2 linked regions of the Caenorhabditis elegans genome follow. The protein of the gene in region 1 interacts with the protein of each later gene in a biochemical or structural test. Each region holds a gene or a part of one and is shown in the gene's direction. Other genes may lie near its edges.

The links. The genes of interacting proteins can lie anywhere in the genome.
Region 2: the proteins of nlp-23 (region 1) and gnrr-3 interact in a test that uses a peptide from one of them, tested with the Caenorhabditis elegans proteins (one large-scale study listed by BioGRID).

Annotation. Positions count from the first base shown.
Region 1 is NC_003284.9:2,341,481-2,345,478, reverse strand, and holds nlp-23 (Neuropeptide-Like Protein), read left to right. Parts: upstream 1-2,519; 5' UTR 2,520-2,540; coding exon 2,541-2,615; intron 2,616-2,682; coding exon 2,683-3,021; 3' UTR 3,022-3,088; downstream 3,089-3,998. Other genes in the region: nlp-2 (Neuropeptide-Like Protein), read left to right, coding at 794-883, 941-1,122, 1,177-1,420; nlp-22 (Neuropeptide-Like Protein), read left to right, coding at 3,415-3,498, 3,896-3,998.
Region 2 is NC_003284.9:10,046,823-10,053,539, forward strand, and holds gnrr-3 (G-protein coupled receptors family 1 profile domain-containing protein), read left to right. Parts: upstream 1-2,637; coding exon 2,638-2,768; intron 2,769-3,167; coding exon 3,168-3,301; intron 3,302-3,342; coding exon 3,343-3,445; intron 3,446-3,494; coding exon 3,495-3,654; intron 3,655-3,709; coding exon 3,710-3,853; intron 3,854-4,538; coding exon 4,539-4,643; intron 4,644-4,693; coding exon 4,694-4,785; intron 4,786-4,837; coding exon 4,838-4,928; intron 4,929-5,431; coding exon 5,432-5,659; downstream 5,660-6,717. Other genes in the region: ZC374.2 (Fibronectin type-III domain-containing protein), read right to left, coding at 1-59, 350-491.

The DNA of each region.
Region 1 (3,998 bases):
AAAATCTTTCAATTTGGAAATAAGTCCCAAAAATTAACCGAAAAATAAAGTGCCGACCAAAAACTAGGTAGTGGATCGAATGAGAAAAACATGTTATGCTACTCCGTACCGGGCTGTCTTCCAAGCCGAACTTGTACGACTATCCCAGGAGAACTAATCTTATAATGAGTAGATCACTGGCTGTCACTACTATTGTCTACTATACTAATAACTGGATACCTACTACTTCCGATTTGTCAAAACACCAATTTTGTCAGTGCTTCTTAATAAAAACTTAATACGTATTTAAGACATAAAGTATACAAACCGTATATAGTTTTCTGGGCAACATTTCGAATAGCAGACTTCCAATACTGTACAGATTTGTACTATGCTTCTAATTTCTGTTTGCTCTGCAGTTTCATAGCTGTTACCTTGAATCAAATCGGTTCCGCACTATGAGCACTATTCAAAAATTGTGACCATTTTCCCCATCTCTTCCAATTTCTGACCAACGTCATTTTGAATACAGAACCAATCACGCAACTCGCCCACCCGCTCGGCTCGATACACCTCAGTTTTTCTTCCCATTCTCTCCCCCCATTTCGCCTGATTCGCGTCTTGCCGCATTCTCGTTATCAATATTCCCACTGGTACTTTATATTGTTATAACTCCGCCCCGTATATATTATGAAAGCCGTATAAATTTGGATAAGCATCTACTGTAATCTTCATTGTTTTCAGCTCTCTCTCTCTCTCCCGAGCTCTTTCTTCGGTTTCACTTATTCTCGCTCAGCTCCCAACAACGCGAGAAATGCGAGCAACCCTCGTGCTTTTTGCTTTGCTCTGCGCAGTTTATTCTGAAGCAGTTCCGCTTCAGGTCTATCGTCCTGACGAATCATCGGTTAGTGGATCTTTGCCAGTAGCATCTGTACTGGTTTCTACTTTGAAAGTTTTTCAGGCTGTCGATGTGGTTGTCCTTGAGAACTCTCCCGAACTGTACGACTCTGAAGATGAAGATGAATGGAAACAAGAGGAAGAGTTCACTGAAGGAGCAATGGGCAAACGAAGCATTGCTCTCGGACGAAGCGGATTCCGCCCTGGAAAACGGAGCATGGACAACTTTCACACTGTGGATGTTAGGTAACTTTGAAGCCTCGTTTGGCTTGTGCAAAACAAAACCTGCTGATTTTCCAGTGATCTCATCATGAAACGATCAATGGCAATGGGAAGATTGGGACTGCGTCCGGGCAAGCGTTCAATGGCCTACGGCAGACAAGGATTCCGGCCGGGAAAGAGATCCATGGCATATGGACGGCAAGGATTCCGGCCAGGAAAGCGCTCAATGGCCTACGGTCGTCAAGGATTCCGGCCAGGAAAGAGAAGCAATGACATGAAGGAGGTCTTCCCACAACACGTTCCAGAAATCTATATAATCTAGAGAACCTGCTCCGACTAATTTGAATCGATCTCTTTGTAATATTCACCGTCATCATCACTGATACTTTATGTACAAACACAGCCAGATTACCGGAATGAAATCGTGTTCTGTTTTTTAGAGTTTTTTAGAGCCCAGTTTCAGAGAGTAATGGTTCGGAAAGAAGTTTCAGACAGGGTGAATATGAATCACAAACTATTTTGATCGGGGATTTTATGCAATATAAAGTCAGATTTACTAATATAACATGTAGGTCAGTTCAAAAAATTTTGTTGAAATCAATTTGTTGAGCCATGTGTCCACTACCAGTGTGCCAAGTTTGAAGGCACGTATGGGTCCGATTAAAATTTGCTCTTTTTCTTTTAGCCTTCCAAAAAATTGTCTCCATACAATTGAATAAATTCTATATGTAATCGCACTGACAATATTGAAACCTTTTTTTTTTCAAAAATTTTCAAAAATTCAAAAAATGCAAAAACTCACTGCCTACTGTTATTCAAAACTGTACTAAATGTATGCCGGTTCGCAATTTTTTTTTGTGTAAGCTGAATTAAAAAATTCTCAGAGGGGTACCCTGTTGTTTTGATCGATGTTCAGCTCATTATGGAAACGTTTTTTTTTCTAGTTGGAAAAACATCAGTGACGTGGGATAGTATCATCTTCAGCTCGTCGTCAGTAAATTGTTAAGAAAAAAAATATTTTGAAGGGAAATCAGATTGTCCAATTCCAAAATTAAATTATAATTAGCCGCCTATAAAACCCAAATCTGTGGCAATTTTTCCGCAGTTCTTCCAGGCTTTTCCGCATTTGACCTTTTTATCACTGATGAGGAGGTATTGGAATTTTGAATGTATGTACCCAAAATGTGCTCAGATGAGCAAATTTCTAAACTTCTCAAAAAAAATTGTTTTTAGTTCCTAGATACACCTATAGTCGTTGTATTCTATTGTAGAAGTGTAGTCCCTTTACGAAATCGTTAAAAAACTCGTAAAAATCCGATCCTCCAAAATATCGTAGTGTCAGTTTTCCGGACTACAAGACCACGTTTTCTTAATAGGTGCTATAAAAAGAAAGACGAGCAGAAGGATGTCCTCAGTCCCACCTGATATCACTTTCAAAGTCAATGGCAGCTCACCTCGTCATTTGGATGGCACTTCTTGGAGTCTCAGCTCATGCTTTGGAGCTGGGTTTTTACTCGGTGAGCTCATATGAACTGAGCTACTTATTTTATCATTTTATGTAATTGTAGCAAATGAACATTTCAGGAACATCCAACGTCTAAAGATGATTCCTACGAATCCCAACTTTTAGATTCTAATGACCTAGACCAAGATGATGCTGTCGACTTGGCGACCCCTATGATTGTTATCCCAAACGACGAAGATGAGATCTATGCCGATGAAGAACCGGAGCCACTAACTATGGAGAAGCGTCTTTATATCAGTCGTCAAGGATTCCGGCCAGCAAAGCGATCAATGGCAATTGGCAGAGCTGGAATGCGCCCAGGGAAGCGTGCATTTGCAGCTGGATGGAACCGCGGAAAGCGATCAATGCCATTTGCAGAGAGCTATTATCCTCTTTACCGCAATGATTTCTCGGAGTAAATAATTTTTGGAATTTCTACAAACATTAATTTTTACTTGTGAATCAAATAAAGTATCTGTATGAAATGATAGCAAAGACATGAGTAATCATCACTGATCACTAGAATAAGGAACTTTTATCATTCTAATTTGAAACCCACGTTTCCAGAGAACAAATCATTGTGGGTGTAAAGCAGTAGTTTTTGTGCAATTTTTCGCATGTTACTTTATGAGTTCACAAAACCGAGAGCAACGTTTTCCAAAAAAAACATTCACCGGTTCCGGTCGTTTAACCGTTTTGCTCCGCCTTAGATGTAACAGAGCAAAAAGCATATAAATTCTGGCCGATCGAGTTGTGCTCACTATACCCCCGTTTTTTATTCTTTTTTATTCTCGAACTTTCCCAACTCGGAAATGCGTTCCATAATCGTCTTCATCGGATTGACGATCTTCGCGTTGGACATTCTTCTGGTCCAGACCTCAGCTCTTGGGCTTCAGGTTAGCTTTACACAATGTTAAAGGAAAAGGGTACCGATCAAATTGTGTTTACGACGGTTCAAATTTTCGAAAAAAGACCTAGATGTGTTTGTTTGTAAATTAGCCTTAAATCCCCAAAAATTTTTTTTTTTTATTATTGACTCAATTTGCACATTTACATCGTTTTTTTAAGTTTAAAATTTCAAGCGGATAGGCAACCAATAGGTTACAAAATTTCAATTTCCGTCCGAATTAGGCCATTTTTATGCGAAAATTTTGAACCGCCACAAAAAAATATTGAAAAACTTTCGCGAAAGTTTATTAAAAAATTCATTCATTTGAGGATATTTTGAAAGTATAAGTTCAAAAATTCCCAAAATCGAGTTCCTTCAAATGGCAACAAGCACCGTAATTTCAGGGTGGAATCGATGTCTTCCGCGGATTAGGAGTTGTCGATCAAGTCGATTTCAATCAGATCCTTCACCGAGCAAACTACCTGCGCAACACTCGTGAGGGGCGCT
Region 2 (6,717 bases), 7.7 Mb from region 1:
TACATATTTCCAAGCCGCTTGTTCTGATTCAGATTTATGGCGAACTGTGTACATTGTATCTGAAAACTAGGTTTTGTTTGTTTGTTCTCACAAAAATGCTGAATTGTTCAAATTTTATCAGTTATTTTATCGGAAGTGATAAGAAAATTTGAAAAGAAAAAATCAATGCTTTGGAGATTCATTTCATTGACAAGCTTAACTCGGAACGCTTAAATTATCATATCTAAAGATATTGTACATACTTACTCAACTTCTGAAAAAACTGCCTCCACTTTCCACATTAGGGAAGCAATTGAAGAAAGGTTTCTAAAGTCTTATGTCCTAACTTATTGCAAAAAATTGTTCTTACTTTGTGATTGCGATCCTGATTGCCATTCCACGTAGATAATATCTAATTCTGGCACAATTCGTGCTTTCGGCTCTCGAACCACCGAGATTGGCTGAGATACTGTGAGGTACAAAAATAGAAGTGGTAAAAGTATAGGTTTCATGGTGGAAACACGCAGTTTGAGCGGCAGGGGTAAGAAGAAGCGAAGGTAGTAATGAAAGTGCGACGACAAGGGCAAACACGAGCCGCCCTGGTCAGCGGTATCTCGAAATGATACATTGCAATACGCAACTGGCCATTCAAAATGTAATATCTGAGAGTTTGTGAAGGATAAGTGTCACTCTTCGGACACAAATTACAGCGGATTTCAAACTTTAAACCAGGAGTGAAAGAGAATAGGATTGTTGGAAACGGTTGATTTTGAATTTGTGATTAGATGATTCGCTTATCTCCGAAGTTTGAGTTTTAAACTCCAAGCTCAATGAATTAAGAAAAAGGTTCGGATGGTTGACCGAACATCAAATTGTGAAGAAAGGGGTAAAGGTCAAAAGTTAGAAAGTTGAACTCTAGTGGTTTAAAATATTAAATCAAAAGGAAGAGAACAATGGGTTAGGGTTCTCGGTTGAAATGGAACACACATTTTCTTTGGTTACATCTATATCTGTATTCAACAATCTCTGGTACATGTGTTTTTTGTCGTGCATTTTAGTATGAAATATCAATCGAAATGAACAAAATTTGACAAATGAATGAAAATATAACTGCGAAGGCCGGTCGGCGTGAGGCCGGCGTGAGGCGCCGCCGCCGCGCCGCTCTCACATGGAAGCCCTACTTTATTCACTTCGATCTTTTTATAGTGTTTTAAATACTTTCCAATTTGAGAAACACGGAACATTTCTGAGAAAATCGTAAATCTTATGAGTTTTCTGGGTGGATTACTTATTGGAAACCAAGACTGCCAAATGGGTTTTTGAATGTTCTCAAAAACTGTCGGTTTTTGCCATTAGGATTAAAAGCGGGAGAAACGAGCTCTCAGAACTTATACGTTTCTCTAGTTTCTTTTTCCGTTCCACTTACTCGTACTCATAAATATGATGTAGTTTTCAAATGGTTTCTAGAACCAAATACATCACGAAAATGTATATTTCTAATTTCCTACAATGCGATGTTGCGGGTCGTTGTTTTTTCATAAGAGAGATTTCATTCAGTTCGTTAGTAGTTCCACTTTTAATTTGATACTTTGTTTGTAATGTAATTTTTAACGATGATCAAGTTTTTTTCAACGATCATTAATATGTTTGTAATCACAACATTACACATTTCCGAATACTGTGCTAGCAATTAATAGATGCACAAATGGTTTTTGCTGTGAAAAAATTCTGTCCAATAGGATTTGTTTCAAGTTTTTTTTTTTAACTTTGATTATTGTTAACCATTTTACTTTGATTCCTGCAGTTGCTAATTCTCCAAATAGATTTTATGTCGGTTTTATTGAAAATTTAAGAAGTAATAATAATAATAAATATTATATTTTTAAATTACCGTTGTCGGTACTTGTTGAGATAACCAATACTGTAAAATTATGAATGCGATGGCAAATTGAATAAGCATTTTTGCATCTGGACATTTAAATACTGCATTTTGTTGGTTTTTTTTAAACATTTGCATGACTGAGTCTCAGCAAGATCTTTCAAATGTTTTTCCTTTGGTATTTTCCAAAGCAACTTTCAAACATTTCTAATTTTTTGAAAAACTATATTTTTTCTCAGTTGTGATTTCACCACAGGTTCAAAAGTTTACATCAGACTGGAAAGCTCCAAATATTGTTGTTTATAAAGAAAAATACTTTTCATCGACGATAATTGCAGTTTTCACGCCAATATTGCTATGTCTGCCTAAAGCTAACATATTTGTAAAGCAAAACTACGCCGGTTGATTCTGACAATCCTTTGGATTCAAATAGTTTCTGGAGTTATTCTCTTGTTTTCACACTTTTCTATGTTTTTCGTTTAACACTCCAGCCACCGTATCATTTAGCAGTAGTAACATCTGTCATGGCATCGTATTATTTACCAGCTCGATGAATACTACATATTTCTTCGCAAAAATGAAAAAAAAAAACGCAATTTTGTATGCCGAAAGTGGTAGTTTGTATAATCAAGCCCCTCCTATCTCGGTTTTCGTTTTACCACATCTCACTCATTTCTCATTTCCGGACAGTCACCAGCAAAGACACCTCACTTCTTTTTGCTAGTTTTTTTTCATTACTTACACTATACTACAATTCCAATTGTGAAACTTTTCAGAAAATGAACAACTCAACATCGGATACGTTTGTCATGATGCATTCGACTTCAGAAGTTATCGAAATGTTTTACCAGCTTGCATTTTTCATAATTGGTACTCCAATCAATATTTTTGCTTTTGTCAAAACAAGTCGGTAAGTGTTGCTAGAGCTAATACTCTTCTAACACTATAAAAGTAATAATAGCTAATTTCACATTTTGCAAATGGTTTGTCAGTTAAACTAATCTTATGTTAGTTCTGCATGCAAGACTAATTTTTATTAGTCTTAAGCACTGCAATATTAATAGAGAGAGCTGCAAGGCTATTTTCCAAGAAACCGGGGGGTTTTAAGTAATTGCAGATCCTTTTTGCATACTCGACTATCCGTGATTTAAAATTCGAACGATAAACAGTTTACTGAAGTACCTGCATAACCTAAGCCGCGCATATAATTTATTCACGTGCCAAACTATTACAAAACTGATTAAAAATTACAGTCATCGTTTTGATGTTTATTTTTTGTTCATGTTTCTAATTTTATTTGTATATTCAGAAATGTTCGAGAAGGAGGCGTGGAGTCCAGACTGGTCAAGCTTAGTCGACAGCTACTTATTGCCCACATAATGGTTCTTTTTATGTACGGGATCTGGAGAAGTTATTGGATATATAATATCGTCTGGACTCAAGGTGTAGATAATCATTTGAATAATAATTTTATTGTTTTTTAGGAGACATTATGTGTCGAGTATTCAGTTTTCTTTGTGCTCTGCCTTTTCATCTTTGGTCGAACATGGTAGCAGCTATTGCAATTGACATGCTTTGCTGTATTACGTAAGTACTCTATATCGGAATCACTGACTTATATAGTTTTTTTTTTCAGATCTCCACTGAGCAGCTATCGAACAGGGGCAAACCGAGTTAATTGGCTTATTACTCTTGCGTGGGGCTTTGCAGTTGTATGTGCATCACCAATGAGCATTCTGCGTGGAACCATTCAGATCAACGATGAAGATATGTATCAATGCTACCCAAGAACTGATGTATGTCAATTTCCTGTAATATCTAAACGAATTCTGTTAACATATAACGTTTCAGGTATTCAATGATGATGTGTTAATTGCATTCAACCTGTTTCATGTCATAACTTCGTTTTACATTCCATTGTTGATTGTTATCATATGCTATTTGGCTATCGGGGTATCGATACGGAAACAAATGGCGGAACGTCGTTTATTACAGGTATAATGCAATTTTGAAAATCTAACTTTTCAAGTGGAGGAGCCTAAGTTACGGAAATGTTGAAAACTAAGGATACATTCTCGATGAAATTCTGAGAAGCCAAAATTGTTCTACTTTTTTACTTCACCAAAACTTTCAGTGAAAAAATTCAACTTTTTTAACATTTTCTGGCTTATAAATTTTATAAATTTTAAAAATGGAAGCTGAACTCTTAAGTGCTTTAAAAAATGTGGAAACGTAACTCATGAGTGACTAACTTGTTATAGACAGTCTTATTTTTTTCCAGTGATCTTATGATCTGTATGATCTAAATATATCTGAAAACAGAAATTCATTTTTGGGTATAGAATGACTATTAATAACATTTTTGATTTGGTTACTGGAATAACACATCAATTGTATCCTTGAGAAAAGAAAAAAAATTTAACAAACAATTATCTGCTTGAAATCATCACACCTGGTATTTTCTAATGACAAAATAGTTATTTTATTCGGTGTAAGCAGATTAAAGCAAACAAATATGTATCACTGATGATTTTTTGTTGTGAAATTATGCAAAAACAGTTACACTAAAAACCAACAAATAATCAAATTAAAAATTGGAAAAATAAATTCATACAATTAACTTCATTTATTTTTCCAATTCGATACACGTAACAATTAAAAAACATAAACATATTTGTAGGACGGAGGACAAAGTGGACAAAAAACGAACAACACGAAAGCAAGATTTCTCAGAGCTTCTGTGGCAATTATTTGTACGTTCCTGTTCACATGGCTTCCATATCAAGTAGGCAAACTTGAAGTATCGTTTCAGTTATAGATACCGTGAATTTTAAGGTTTTGGCTCTTCTTCGAATTGTCTGTGTTTCTGAAAATTGCCAGGAAATTGTGAGCAAACTGAATTGGTTACAGGCAATTATTATAGCAAGGTATTCAGGAAAAAACATTCATTAATAGTTTTCCCTAATTGTTCTTATTTAGCACGTGCATCAATCCATTCCTATATCGTTTTGGCACTGAGCCAAAAAGAAACTCGTATTACTGCAGTACTATGGACACTGCTGGTAAGGAGGTATGCATGACGGTCAAGTGTTTTTCTTCTCTTTACCTCCGACACTCTCTCACTTCAAAAGCCCTTATCTAATCACGTGGTTAATTTCAACTCCCCTTCTGGAAACCGGTTATTTTCTATAACAAAATTTATCAAACTGCACGTATTTACGTCTTTTATCATTTGAGATAGAGTTCATGATATTCTCAAATTGATCAACCAATTTATGATGAGATGGCGTCAGTTGTCGAAATGGCGTCATACAAAAAGAGACTAGAAACACAGCTTATTAATTTGTGAACGTTCACATTTCAATTAAAGTGACCTTCTTCTCCTAAAAAATTTTTTTAGATTAAGTTTGCAGTAAATCCCCGCAGGTGGTGTGATTTTAGAACTAGACATTGTTAATTACACTATCACACCGTCTATCTTCTAATCACATTTCTCTTTTTCTTGCAACAACGACCTGTTCCACCACCACCTAGAACTACATTTTTCGCATCTTGATCAGCATCACTTTGCAGGAAGTCGGTCTATCCGCCGATCGACGACGGTCCGGGAAGCCGAGGCCCAGCGGATTGTTGCCGCAGCAAATCGCGCACACCGAGAACAAAACTCCTCCCAAGTGTCGCCTCGAGGTACACGCGCCACGGTTCGAGAACAGACGCGCGTCGCAAATCGACTCAAAAACACCAAAAGTAATGAGGTTTAGATGCACCGGATCACTTGACGGAAAAGCTGGCAGATGCTGAGGAATGACCATCAATTTGAAATATTTCGTGTATATTTTTATGTAACAAACTGGAACTTCTGATCGTTGAAAAACTTTTGTCGAACCAACAATGCGAAGATGTACATTATGTGATGTAGCACATTCCTCTGTTTTCAAGAATAATCCCTTCTGAGAAAAATTAATTTATGGTAATAAAACTGAGTGTGCTCTTTTGAAAGTGTTGTTGCATTTTTTGGGAGAAAGTTATGGATGTTAAAAAAAAAACAATTCCTATTCGTAAAATATCTTCTCGTGAAAATTTTTGGAATCTGGCCCAAATGCATGGTAGTACACTTTGCATATTGAAGCCATATAAAATTCATCTTTCAAACTAAAAACTTTCGGAAAAACGGTGAATCTCAAGGAAATAAATATTTTATTTGTTCCCGAGAAAACTATAAAATCTTACAGATCAAATGAAATTTTTTGATCATTTTCTGTTCCGGTTTGTTTCTTTTTTGCAATCCCCTTCTTTTGTTGTTTGACCTGTGTTTTCCCAAATTCCCATCCAGACACCACACTACATACAAATAACTGCAATAAATCTTGCCACAGCACTATAATCTAATTGCTCGTTGTTGCAGTAGTAATATACCTGTCTAGAGGTTACTCTTCTTTCCAACACCTGTCCTTGCCTTTTTATTGTACACTCTGCTCTCTGTCTGCACTCCCATTCTTTTTCGTTCATCTCTCCCTGGCTCTTTTTTTTTCTCATCATTTCATTTTTGTCTGGGTTGTTTAGGAAATGATACACGCATAACCCTTGTCAGATCTTGAATCATCGTGATCTCTTCATTTTTTTTCTTCATGAATCGTGTTGTTTCTATCACCTTATGCCAACAATTATTGTATCTACAATTATAGTTTCAATAAAACTATCAACATTCATAGCAGTGATTGTTTCTAAAATTGTGTGACAGAAAATAGTCGAAAAGTGTTTTCTATTAATTATTCTCACAAACCCACACAAGTGACAAAAAACGTATAGAACATGTGCTTTAAAAATCATTATGATTTATAGATTTTGATCACCTTCAT